Mus musculus: one gene and its partners. The protein of the gene in region 1 purifies or fractionates together with the protein of each later gene. This does not show direct contact. Links are inferred from orthologs where the notes say so. Each region holds a gene or a part of one and is shown in the gene's direction. Other genes may lie near its edges.

Region 1 (3,653 bases):
TTGAACTGAAGATAAATCTTAAAATCTGAAGTGAAGGTCTAGAGAGGTGGCTCGGTGGTTAAGAGCAAACACTGTTCTTTAAGAGGTCAACCTGAGTTTGGTTCTTAGCATCGACATCAACATCAGGAGCCTCATGGCCAGCTGCCCATAACTCCAGCTCCAGGGGGATCCAGCACATCTGGCCTCCATGTTGTGTACCTGCTATCAAAAGCTTTGAGACACATGCAATTAAAAATATATAGATTTTTTAAAATATTTAAACCAAATCTAAGATGAAAAAGTAGTAAGTGGCTGGAAGATGGCTCCATGGGTAAAAACACTTGCTATGTAATCATAATGACCTGAGTTCAAATCTCCATCAATTTTAAAAGCTGGGTAGTTGCTTTAAAGGATTTTTAAATAAGATAAAAGAATGTAAAGAAGCAGACGTGTAGTAGGTGTCCGTAAATATAATTATTGTCACTATAGAGCAATTGTGGAGTTCCAAACATTTTTTTGGCCTCCCAGTAAGGGAAGGAAAATGTTGCCAGTCTCTTGGGGGCCACAAGTTAAAAGAACGTGTGTTCTTTTTTTCCTTTCTGTTTAGTGACTGAAATAGAGAAATTGTATAAACAAATGCCGGGGAACAGCTCTGGCATTAGTGGCCATTTGCCTCTAGCTCTTCAAGCTGGGCTTTCTCTGCCATAAAAGGCTTGGGACCAAGATCAGGAATGGTCGGATATTTTTAAAGGGGCAAAGGTTATTTTTAACTTCTTTGAGACTAGTGAACTTTTGTTTTTCCAGATTGCTCCTTTACCTATCTGAAAGAGCATCTCTGAGTCTTCGAAGAGCAGCTCTTTTGCACTTGTTGTGGACTGCTGGAGGCACAGACTATGTCTCATCTGAGAAATGTTCTCGTTGCTTTAGCCATAAGATTAAGCATGCAGAATTTAGAAGAAACTTATAGAATTGATATGTGTTGATTGATCATTTCATAAAAGGAAACCATAGTTACATAACATTACATAAAAAGTTAGAGATGTGAGTTGCCCATCTTCTTTGGAGACCAAAAAGAAATGAGCCTGTAAGTGTAAATGGCTGAGGAGAGAATGGTATGCTGGAGAGAGCGTCCTCTGCTGTTGTTGCAGAGGACCCAGACTTAGTTCCCAGCACCCACATGACGACTCTAACTTCATTTCCATTGAGTCTGATGCACTTTTCTGTTCTCCGTTGCTATACGTGTCCATGCAAGAAACCAACGTTTGTATCATTGGAAATCTAGGATGATTCTGAAGCACGAGGGATAGAGAAGTAGATGATATTTAGATGTCATCTGTTTTATGTTACAGCAGAGAAAATCAGTCGCTACTCATGAGCCCTCATCTACCATCTTTTTTTGTTTGTTATGAAACTTTATTTGAAACTTCATTCACATTCTCCTCCTGGTTCTTAGATTGCAACCTGCTCTGATGATAATACACTGAAAATCTGGCGCTTGAATAGAGGCCTAGAGGAGAAACCAGGTGATAAACATTCCATAGTGGGTTGGACCTCTCAGAAGAAAAAAGAAGTGAAAGCCTGCCCAGGTAAGGATAGCATGCATTCTCCAAGGTTTTTTGGTGGTGGTGGTGGTGGTGGTGGTGGTGGTGGTGGTGGTGGTTTCTTTCTTTTGTTAGTTGAGTCCTACTGTGTACTATGGGAGCCTAGGTTTGTTCTTGTTTTGTAATATTTTTAAAGAAAAGCATCATTTTGGCTTTTTTTTTCCCTTCAAGATTTATTTATTTTATGTATGTGAGAACACTGTTGCTGTCTTCAGATACACCAGATCCCATTATACATGGTTTTGAGTCAACATGTGGTTACTGGGAATTGAACTCAGGACCTCTGAGAAAGCAGTCAGTGTTTTTAGCCGCTGAGCCATCTCTCTAGCCCTTGGCATTTCTTAGAAGAGAATTATCCAGATCACAACTCTGTTTATCTATGAAAAAAAGCACAGTAATGGATTTAGCCAACAAATATTTATGGACTGTCATGTACTAGGTACTCTTAGTTTTGATTGGCAATGACCAGAAGACTCAAGACTCAGATATAAACACATGAAATAACAGGAGCTGCTTAGTAGCATAAGTGAGAGAAAAGAATGGAAATTGCTGTCAAATGTTTCTATGATAGAGGGGCCTCATTGACTTAAGTAAGTGAAGTACTTGGTGAGCCGTGTGGCTATTTGGAAGACTATTCCAGATACAGCATGGCAAGGGTAAGGTGCTGCAGCAGGGGAGCACTGGCATGTCTCCTCTGCCTCAGTGTCCTTAGCACTAAAGCACTGAGGGACAGCAGGAAAGCAGTAGTAGCAGAAAACGGAGTTTGTGTATAACGGAAACCTTCAAAGCCTGTGTGGTAGCACATCCCTTTTAATCCCAGTACTCAGGAAGAGTGAGTTTGAGGCTAGCCTAACCTCTCTAGCACATCAGCCATTGCACACTATAAGCCAACTTCTATAACAGATTGTCTGCTATTAACTACACTGCCCCCCCTTTTTTTTTTTTGGTGTTTTCAAGACAGGGTTTCTCTGTGTATCCCTGGCTGTCCTAGAACTCACTCTGTAGACCAGGCTGCCCTCGAACTCAGAGATCTGCCTGCCTCTGCCTCCCAAGTGCTGGGATTAAAGGCGTGCGCCACCACTACCTGGCTGTTTTCTGGCTTTCTTAACACTAACTGCAAGGTATAACCCTTTTAATTTTACCAAAGTTTTGCTAACCTTTAGTGTTCACAAACTCTTCTCTTTGACACCCCATATCATAACATCGTAAAGAAGAAATTACCTAATTTCTTAACCATCTTTCAGTCCCTCCTCTGCTCTCCAGTATCATGTTTCTGTTAACCTTTAGTAGACACTTGCAGCATGTGGCTTTTGAGTATCAAAAACTTGATAGCTATTCTTTATCCCATTTATTCTTTACCCAAAAGCCTTATTGGAACTTGGTATGTTGCTAGACATGTAGTATTTCAGGACTTCTGTGCAAATACACATATGGGTTGTTTAAATGGAGGACGTGATTATCGACCTGAACTGAGCAGTACATCCAATGACCCCTTCTTGATTCCTGCCATAGTTACCGTAATCAAAGCCAGAGCAGATGTGTGATGCCCGTGGCTAACGTCCTTTTCATAGCAGCTTAGGACAGTGACGCTGCCAGCTGTGACTTTACTGGAAGAACAAACTCACTTTAGACAAGTCTAAGCACTTGCTTAAGGATAAAAATTGAAAGAAAAGTATTTATCAAACTATTGTCTTGAGCTGTCAAGATGCCTTAGTGGCACCAATCAAGCCCAACAAGCTGAATTTATGCACACAGTAAAGAGGCCAGTTCCCACAAAATACTCTGGCGTGTCGAAGAACTGTGATTCAAGACAAGACTGATAAAATAGTGAGGACAGAATAATACACTAAGATTGGCTCTGTAAAACTTAATTTTTGCTGAGAGAGATCTATTACATGTCTTTTTTTAAAATAGGGTTTTTTGGGGGGTTGTTTTTTGTTTTGGGGGGGGTTAATGAGTATTTTGCCTGCGTGTATATATGAAGAGGCCAGAAGAGGGGAGTTGGAGCCTCTGGGACTGAAGTTAACAGATGTGGATACTTGAAGCTGAATCTAGGTACCCTAGAAAAACAGC
Region 2 (2,562 bases), on another chromosome or scaffold:
CCTCAAGTGTGTATGAGACAAACTGTAGATGGGAGAACAGATTTACAGAACAAGTCATTACCTGGTTGATGTCGCAGGCTGCCCCTCCCACAGACAGACAGTGATGGTGTCACTTGTCCTGAGGCTTTCGGTTTGCTGCACAGAAAGTGTCCTCAGAATACGCACTAGTATGGTCTGAGGAGGCAGAGGGAGCTTTCCACCATCAGAAGCAATTTCAGAGGACTTGATTTTGGTTGCCAGTATGGACACGGTGGCTTACAACCATCCTGTGCTGCTAGGAAGCCCTGATATAAGCATTCTTATAAGAAAAATACATTTTTTTTTAAAGATTTATTTATTTATTATATGTAAGTTCACTGTAGCTGTCTTCAGACACTCCAGTAGAGGGCATCAGATCTTGTTACAGATGGTTGTGAGCCACCATGTGGTTGCTGGGATTTGAACTCCGGACCTTTGGAAGAGCAGTCGGGTGCTCTTACCCACTGAGCCATCTCACCAGCCCAAAAATACAACTTTTAAAATCACTTTTCCAAGTTAGTTTTAGAGTTGTATACCTTGGAAAAGTTAAGAGCTTTCATGGAACAAATTAAAACATAACAAAGCAGAACAAAGCCTGCCTTAGTCTGCATCAAACCAAGTTTGTCAATGCAAAGCAGTCCTGAAGCATCTGTGCCCTCCTTCTGTTCTCCTTTCTCATTGTTCAGGTTGAAGAACAGGTTAGCACTACAGAGAGAGTATTCCAGGATAGACAGTACCAGATCGACGCTGCTATAGTCAGAATAATGAAAATGAGGAAGACACTTGGTCATAATCTTCTAGTTTCTGAATTATACAATCAGCTGAAATTTCCAGTGAAGGTGAGTATTGTGGGCACAGCTGGGGGTCAGGGTGAGTACCGTGGGCACAGCTGGGTGTCGGGGTGAGTGCCGTGGGCACAGCTGGGGGTCAGGGTGAGTACCGTGGGCACAAATGGGGGTCAGGGTGAGTACTGTGGGCACAAATCGGGGTCAGGGTGAGTGCTGTGGGCACAGCTGGGTGTCGGGGTGAGTGCTGTGGACACAGCTCGGTGTTATGTGCTGTATTCATCCCCAACATGTTAGAATCTCAGTGTCCTGGCATTTGACTTATTTGACAGGGCTGGTATGAGCAGAGGCCAGCACACATGAGGGAGGGCAAGGGCCCTGTGCACATCTTCCTAAAGACTCATTGCTTCTCCATGCTGTGTTTTCAGGAGGGAGCAGAGGCCACAGCCACAAGATGTTAGAACACATGTTCTTCCCTCACCATAGTTCTTAAGGCTACTACCCAGGCAGGCCCTTGTGGCAGTGGTGTTGGTAGGTGCTAGATTCAGCATTCACAAACTAAGTAGCATTTCCTGCTTTGGAGATGTAAGTCACCCTCTTTCTTTTAGTTCTAGAACTAAGCGCTGAGGTTCTATAGCATGTGAAATACAGGATGAGCTGGAGGAGCGTTGGAAAAATACATTATAAAATGCAGTCTAAAATGCATTATCAGCTCAGAAGGAATTGAATTCTCAGGACCTGCATCCTTCAGCAACTGGAAGTCCCCTGGTTGCATGACACCTGAGTCACACTGAGACAGACAGATTAGTCAGTACCTCAAGCATAGGTGAGGCCAGTGCCTGGCCGCTGCCCTGCCCTGCCCTGCCCTCCATGATGATGGATGCACAGCCCATGCTGTACTGCGATGTTTCCTACCCCAAGTCAGGGCATCTGTTTGTCAGTTTGCAAATGTTGTAACCTGGTAATTAAGTGTAGAGTGTCATGTGCAAATGGGCAAAGCTCTAGCTCCCATGCTTTATAGCTAATTGTATGGTCAGCCATATCTTGTAACAGGCATGGGCTGCCCATGAAGAGAAGGGTTTGCTGTTTGGGAAAGGATGCTCCCTCAGCAGAAGGCCCCTGCTTCCAAGTCTGAGTGCTCTGCTTCCTCCTGCAGCAGAAGTGATGGCAGAGACATTCTAAGGCTGTGGACTTGGCCTTGGTTTTAGTCATCCGCACAGAGACTGAGTTCTTTGACTGGGTATAGCGGTATACACCTTTAATTCTGGCACTCAGGGGAAGAGGCAGGCAGACCTCCGTGAATTTGGGTCCAGCCTGGTGTACATAGGGAGTTCCAAGACAGCTAGGACTACAAGGATAGATCTTGTCTCACAAAAGAAAACAACAAAGGCAGGGCTGGTATATGTGGCTGGTCCCCTGCTTTCTATCCACATGGCAAGTCAAAGCAGTGAGAACAGGCTCTGTAGTAAGACCTACATAGTGACAATGACACTTTTGCAGTAACTTAGAAAAACACTCAGAATGTGTGGCTGTACTGTGATGTGCCATATCTGGTAAGCATGGACTGACTAGGAGGCTGAGCACATAGAAAAAGTGCTTCACACGAGTGAATGGCTAGAGATGGTGTATACCTATAACCTTTACCTCAGGGAGGCTGATACAGGAGGATTGCTGCAAGTTTGAATCCAACCTGGGCTACTTAGTGAGTTCATGGACAATAGCTCAGACTCTGAGCAGGAGCAGCACGAGGGCCCTGAGG
Region 3 (4,259 bases), about 180 Mb from region 1:
AGAAGGAATGTCCGCACCAGCAGTCTGGTCAACTCTCTGTCCTGGGCTTTCATTACCATTTCAACATGTTATTCTGTATGTTTCGAGTGGCTGTGTATTGTGACCACTGGAACAAGCTTACACAAGCTTCTCAGAAAGAACTTAAGATACTAATGTACTCTAATGTCCCTAGTGTGCCCGAAGTTATACTTTAAGAAGATTCTATTTTTATTTTTGGTTTCGTTATTTTGTCTCCAATAGTCCAGGGAGAAAGCGGGGTTGGAACTCTTGATTCTCCATTCTCCACCTCCCAAGTACTGGAATTAGAAGAATGTTGCAATGTCCTTGCTCTGTTTTGTTTGCCCAGCTCCTTGACTTTTTGAAACAGGGTCTCCTGCAGCCCAGGCAAAAGCACCTGCATTAGAAGAGGATACAGACGGGCAGTAGTGGTGCACGCCTTGAATCCCAGCACTCAAGCAGGCAGCTCTCGAGTTTGAGGCCAGCCTGGACTACATAGTTCCAGAACTGCAAAAACCCCGGGGTCCAGGTGAAGCAGCTACAGAGCCTTCGAATTCCTGTGAAGGAGCAGTTACTGACGAAGAGTTAAGGAAAGGCATCTCCGAGCTGTGCTTTTTAAAATCTGTGTGCTCTAAAGCAGAAATGTCAAGAAGTGCATTTCAAGCAATGCCTAACAACTAATATATTACTAAGCCAAGGAAAAAAGTTCTAATAGAATGAAAAACTGGGTTGGGGGAGCTAAAAGAAGATGATGAAGCTGGAGAAGTCTTTAAGAACCGTGTTACGAAAAAAATTAAATATATTAGAATTAAATAAAACACAAATTTCATGCATGCCTTCAACTTACAGTCTAGTGGGCAATTGGGGATGAGAATGTGAGGGAAGAAAACCTAAAAATACGACTGAAACAAATTTCACATTAACTGCTGGAAGGCACAGGTTGCGGAGATTAAATCTGCACTGAGACAAACCTTTTTTAAAAAGTAGCGCCTAAGGCATTCACCGCTCCTAACACTTGTATAAAATGTTACCCTATAAAGTCCCTAAAAAAGTTAATCTTAGCAACCGGTAACTTTTGCTTGCCACCTCGCAACAGTAGCGAAAACACAAAAGCGGAACGCCAACCACAAACCCCGGAGGCTTAACACACCGCAAATTATCTTAAAAGAGTCACGCGATCTTCCCCCTCCAAAACCAATAATCCGGAGATACTTACACCTCTGTTTCTCTAGAGATATTTAGTATTCCAAACAATTTATTTCGTTTGAAGCACCTACACTCACATAAACATAATTCCCCAAACTCAAGTTTCCTCCTACACACAATATGGTGGCATCTGAGTCTGCGCAGTACGAGCCGAGCCGGCCGACTCCTTCCTGGCAGGCCAATAGTCCCGCCTTCCGGCGCGAAAGGCTGTACCATTCCCACACCGAGGCTTTGCGTCCCTCGCAGTTCACACGAACGGATTTCCGAGCCAGCATGTTCTCGTTTCACCGGCAAGACTGATCTTAGCCGAGCCGAGCCGAGCCAACCCTAAGGAAGTGTTTTCTATGTCGCTGCGCCGCCGCCGCGCCCCAGCGCGCGAATGGTCTGGACCAACGTCACCTCCGGTCTCAAGTGTCATGGCTGCCTTGAGAGTCTAGTGAGTGTGCACCCTGGTGGGGAAGGTCCAAAGCCCGCACGCTGAGGCCCAGTAGAAGAAAGTTGCATCTTGATTGTGGAGCGACAGCTTCTCCGGTGCCTCGGCCATGGCAGCTTCCGGGAGTGGTATGGCCCAGAAAACCTGGGAATTGGCCAACAACATGCAGGAAGCGCAGAGTATCGATGAAATCTACAAATATGACAAAAAACAACAACAAGAAATCCTGGCGGCGAAACCCTGGACTAAGGAGTGAGGAGGTCCCTGGCGAGACGCAGGGGAGGGCAGGGATGGCGGGACTGTGAGAGACCCGCGAGGGGTGGGAGATGAAGGGTGTGGTGAGCTTGGCTTTCTGTGGGGCGTCGACCGAATATTGGCCACAGTGGCCTTAGTCTGCCTTGTCAGTAGAGCCTTACCTGTCCTCTAGGGCCTGCTTCGATTCCCCTTTTAGAAAGTTTCTTGCCTTCAGGGCGTGTAAAGGGCTGACTTGGGGTGCGACTTTTGTCAACATGATTATTTTTGTAAATCTCACACACTCTGCCTTGAACCTGGTGGCTACATGCAGTTAGTTGCAGCCTTCAGTAGATTCCCAAACTGAAGAGCGTGGCTGTTTTTATAAATCGAATGAGCAGAGCATTGATTTAAAAAAAAAAAAAAAATCCATGAGCTCTTGGATTGATTGGTTTGGTTTTTTTTCAGCTCTTTAGACACATACCAAATCCTCTTAGCAGTTCCCTACAATACTACTACAATTCATGTAAACCAGGAATTATAAGAGAGAGCTTAGAAGCATTTTCCCCAGCCAAATCCATGTATCTTTGGGATTGACGACAAGTCAAATGATTCTTTAGAGCAAATTGTATTAAGGAGAGTGAAGAAAAAAATTACAAAAGGTTGCTGAGTAGACTGTCTTGCTGTCTCCAGGTGTTTTGTTCTGATGGCACAGCTGGCTTTAACCGTCAGTACTCTGTTTTCAGTGTTTATTGAGTTCTTACTGTGGGCCTGGCACTGGCCTGAAGATTTTCGTGTCTTTTAATAATCTTGACAATCCAGGATTCTTTCCCTTTCTGTAAATAGAAAAATAAGCAAATACATTCAGAAACACACCTCATGGTCATACTATAGCAATGAGCTTAGGTTCAATAGACTGAAAATCAGGTCTCAATAACTGTCATTTAGACTGTTGACTGGCATTAGGAAACTAAAGTATCTAAACTTATCTATAAGATAAAGGTTAAACGTAGCTATTAATGATGTCATGAAGATGAGATAAGGTAATTTATTAAGAAGTTCTGGATGAGCCATATGTAATGAGAGCATAGTAATGGTTGTTTTTATCTTTTTCCCAAGTAGATGGAAAAGCCAGTTTTTTAATTTATATCTTGATTTCCAAGATGGTCTCAGTAACTTTGAGCTTGTGGTTGAAATCTAACAAAAGCTATATTTGGTTGCATGCATCCAGTGGGCCATGGCAACGCTGAGTGCCCCACACAGATTACTTAGCTGTTTCTAAAGCAAGCTGCGTGATTTAGGTGGATGTAAACTCAAGACTTCTTCACCATCTATGGCTATCCTAACATGTAGGGTATGTCAGGGATTTTAAACTGTTGTTCAAGAGTTTAATCACATACAATGGTTAGTCAAAGAAGTAAAGATACTAGATCACTCTCAAGATGCTATCAGAAGGAAGCCACAAGCTAACACACTTTTTTTGAGAATATCTTAAAACAGGTTAATAAGGCTGATAACAGTACCTTAGGTTTTAGTGTCTGTGGGACTAAGCACTTACTGTGTACTTTTCATACTAATAGGTGACATACCTATTTATAGATATGTGACATAGACATTAAGTGGCCCTACTCTCTCAGGTAGGGAGTGTCAGTGTAAGATTTTAGACCTAAGCAGGGCAATTTCAGAGGCAAACATTGTAGAAATTAAATCCTCTGGCTCTGTAGGTAATAATACTTGCTATCAAGCATGCAGACCTGAGTTCAAATCCCCAGCATCTATTGTAAAAATCCATGTGTGGATATGTGTGTGTGTAACCTTTTAGCATTGTATTGAAGGATGGCAGAGAAAAGGAAGTCTGTAAGCTGGTCAGTCAGCCAAAACAGTGAGCTTTCAGTAAGAGGCTCTCTCTGTCTCAAGGGGATGAAGTAATAAAATAGAGGAAAATGAGCTGGGCATGGTGACACCCACATTTAATCTCAGCAGAGGTGGGTGATCAAGTTCCAAGGTCAGCCTGGACTACTGGACAGCCAGGTTATACAGAAAAACGCAGTCTTAAAACAAAACAAAACAAAAGGTAGAGAAAGACCCCTGACAGTCCCTGTCATCTCCACATGCCATCTGGTGGCACACTAATAAACATGTACCACAGATAATAAATAAATAAATTACTTAATTAATAACTCAGTAAATTAAGGTCAGAAAGCTAGGCCTAAGAAGGTAATCAAGTATAATAATTCCATGATGATTGAGAAAAAAGGCCTGTGGACTTGATCATTACTCCCTCACCTCAGCAGTATATTAAAGTTTATCCCAGACTCTTTATTTTACCCAAGGGGCTGAGCTGTGACTGTGACATGTTATCTCCAGGTACCTCATACTTGCTGCTCTTATT

Evidence for each region.
Region 2: the proteins of Dtl (region 1) and Cul4a purify together in Homo sapiens (affinity purification with western blotting; 15 studies listed by BioGRID and IntAct, with this or other methods). This does not show direct contact. The link is inferred for Mus musculus from reciprocal best matches to the Homo sapiens genes DTL and CUL4A.
Region 3: the proteins of Dtl (region 1) and Cops5 purify together in Homo sapiens (affinity purification with mass spectrometry; 6 studies listed by BioGRID and IntAct, with this or other methods). This does not show direct contact. The link is inferred for Mus musculus from reciprocal best matches to the Homo sapiens genes DTL and COPS5.

What each region holds. Positions count from the first base shown.
Region 1 is NC_000067.6:191,544,403-191,548,055, reverse strand, and holds part of Dtl (denticleless protein homolog), read left to right. Parts: intron 1-1,432; coding exon 1,433-1,565; intron 1,566-3,653. UniProt on the Homo sapiens protein: Substrate-specific adapter of a DCX (DDB1-CUL4-X-box) E3 ubiquitin-protein ligase complex required for cell cycle control, DNA damage response and translesion DNA synthesis.
Region 2 is NC_000074.6:13,143,573-13,146,134, forward strand, and holds part of Cul4a (cullin-4A), read left to right. Parts: intron 1-704; coding exon 705-857; intron 858-2,562. UniProt on the Homo sapiens protein: Core component of multiple cullin-RING-based E3 ubiquitin-protein ligase complexes which mediate the ubiquitination of target proteins. As a scaffold protein may contribute to catalysis through positioning of the substrate and the ubiquitin-conjugating enzyme.
Region 3 is NC_000067.6:10,035,299-10,039,557, reverse strand, and holds the start of Cops5 (COP9 signalosome complex subunit 5), read left to right. Parts: upstream 1-1,419; 5' UTR 1,420-1,547; coding exon of another isoform or gene 1,548-1,639; 5' UTR 1,640-1,745; coding exon 1,746-1,888; exon of another isoform or gene 1,889-1,896; intron 1,897-4,259. Other genes in the region: Cspp1 (centrosome and spindle pole associated protein 1), read right to left, coding at 1,214-1,419. UniProt on the Homo sapiens protein: Probable protease subunit of the COP9 signalosome complex (CSN), a complex involved in various cellular and developmental processes.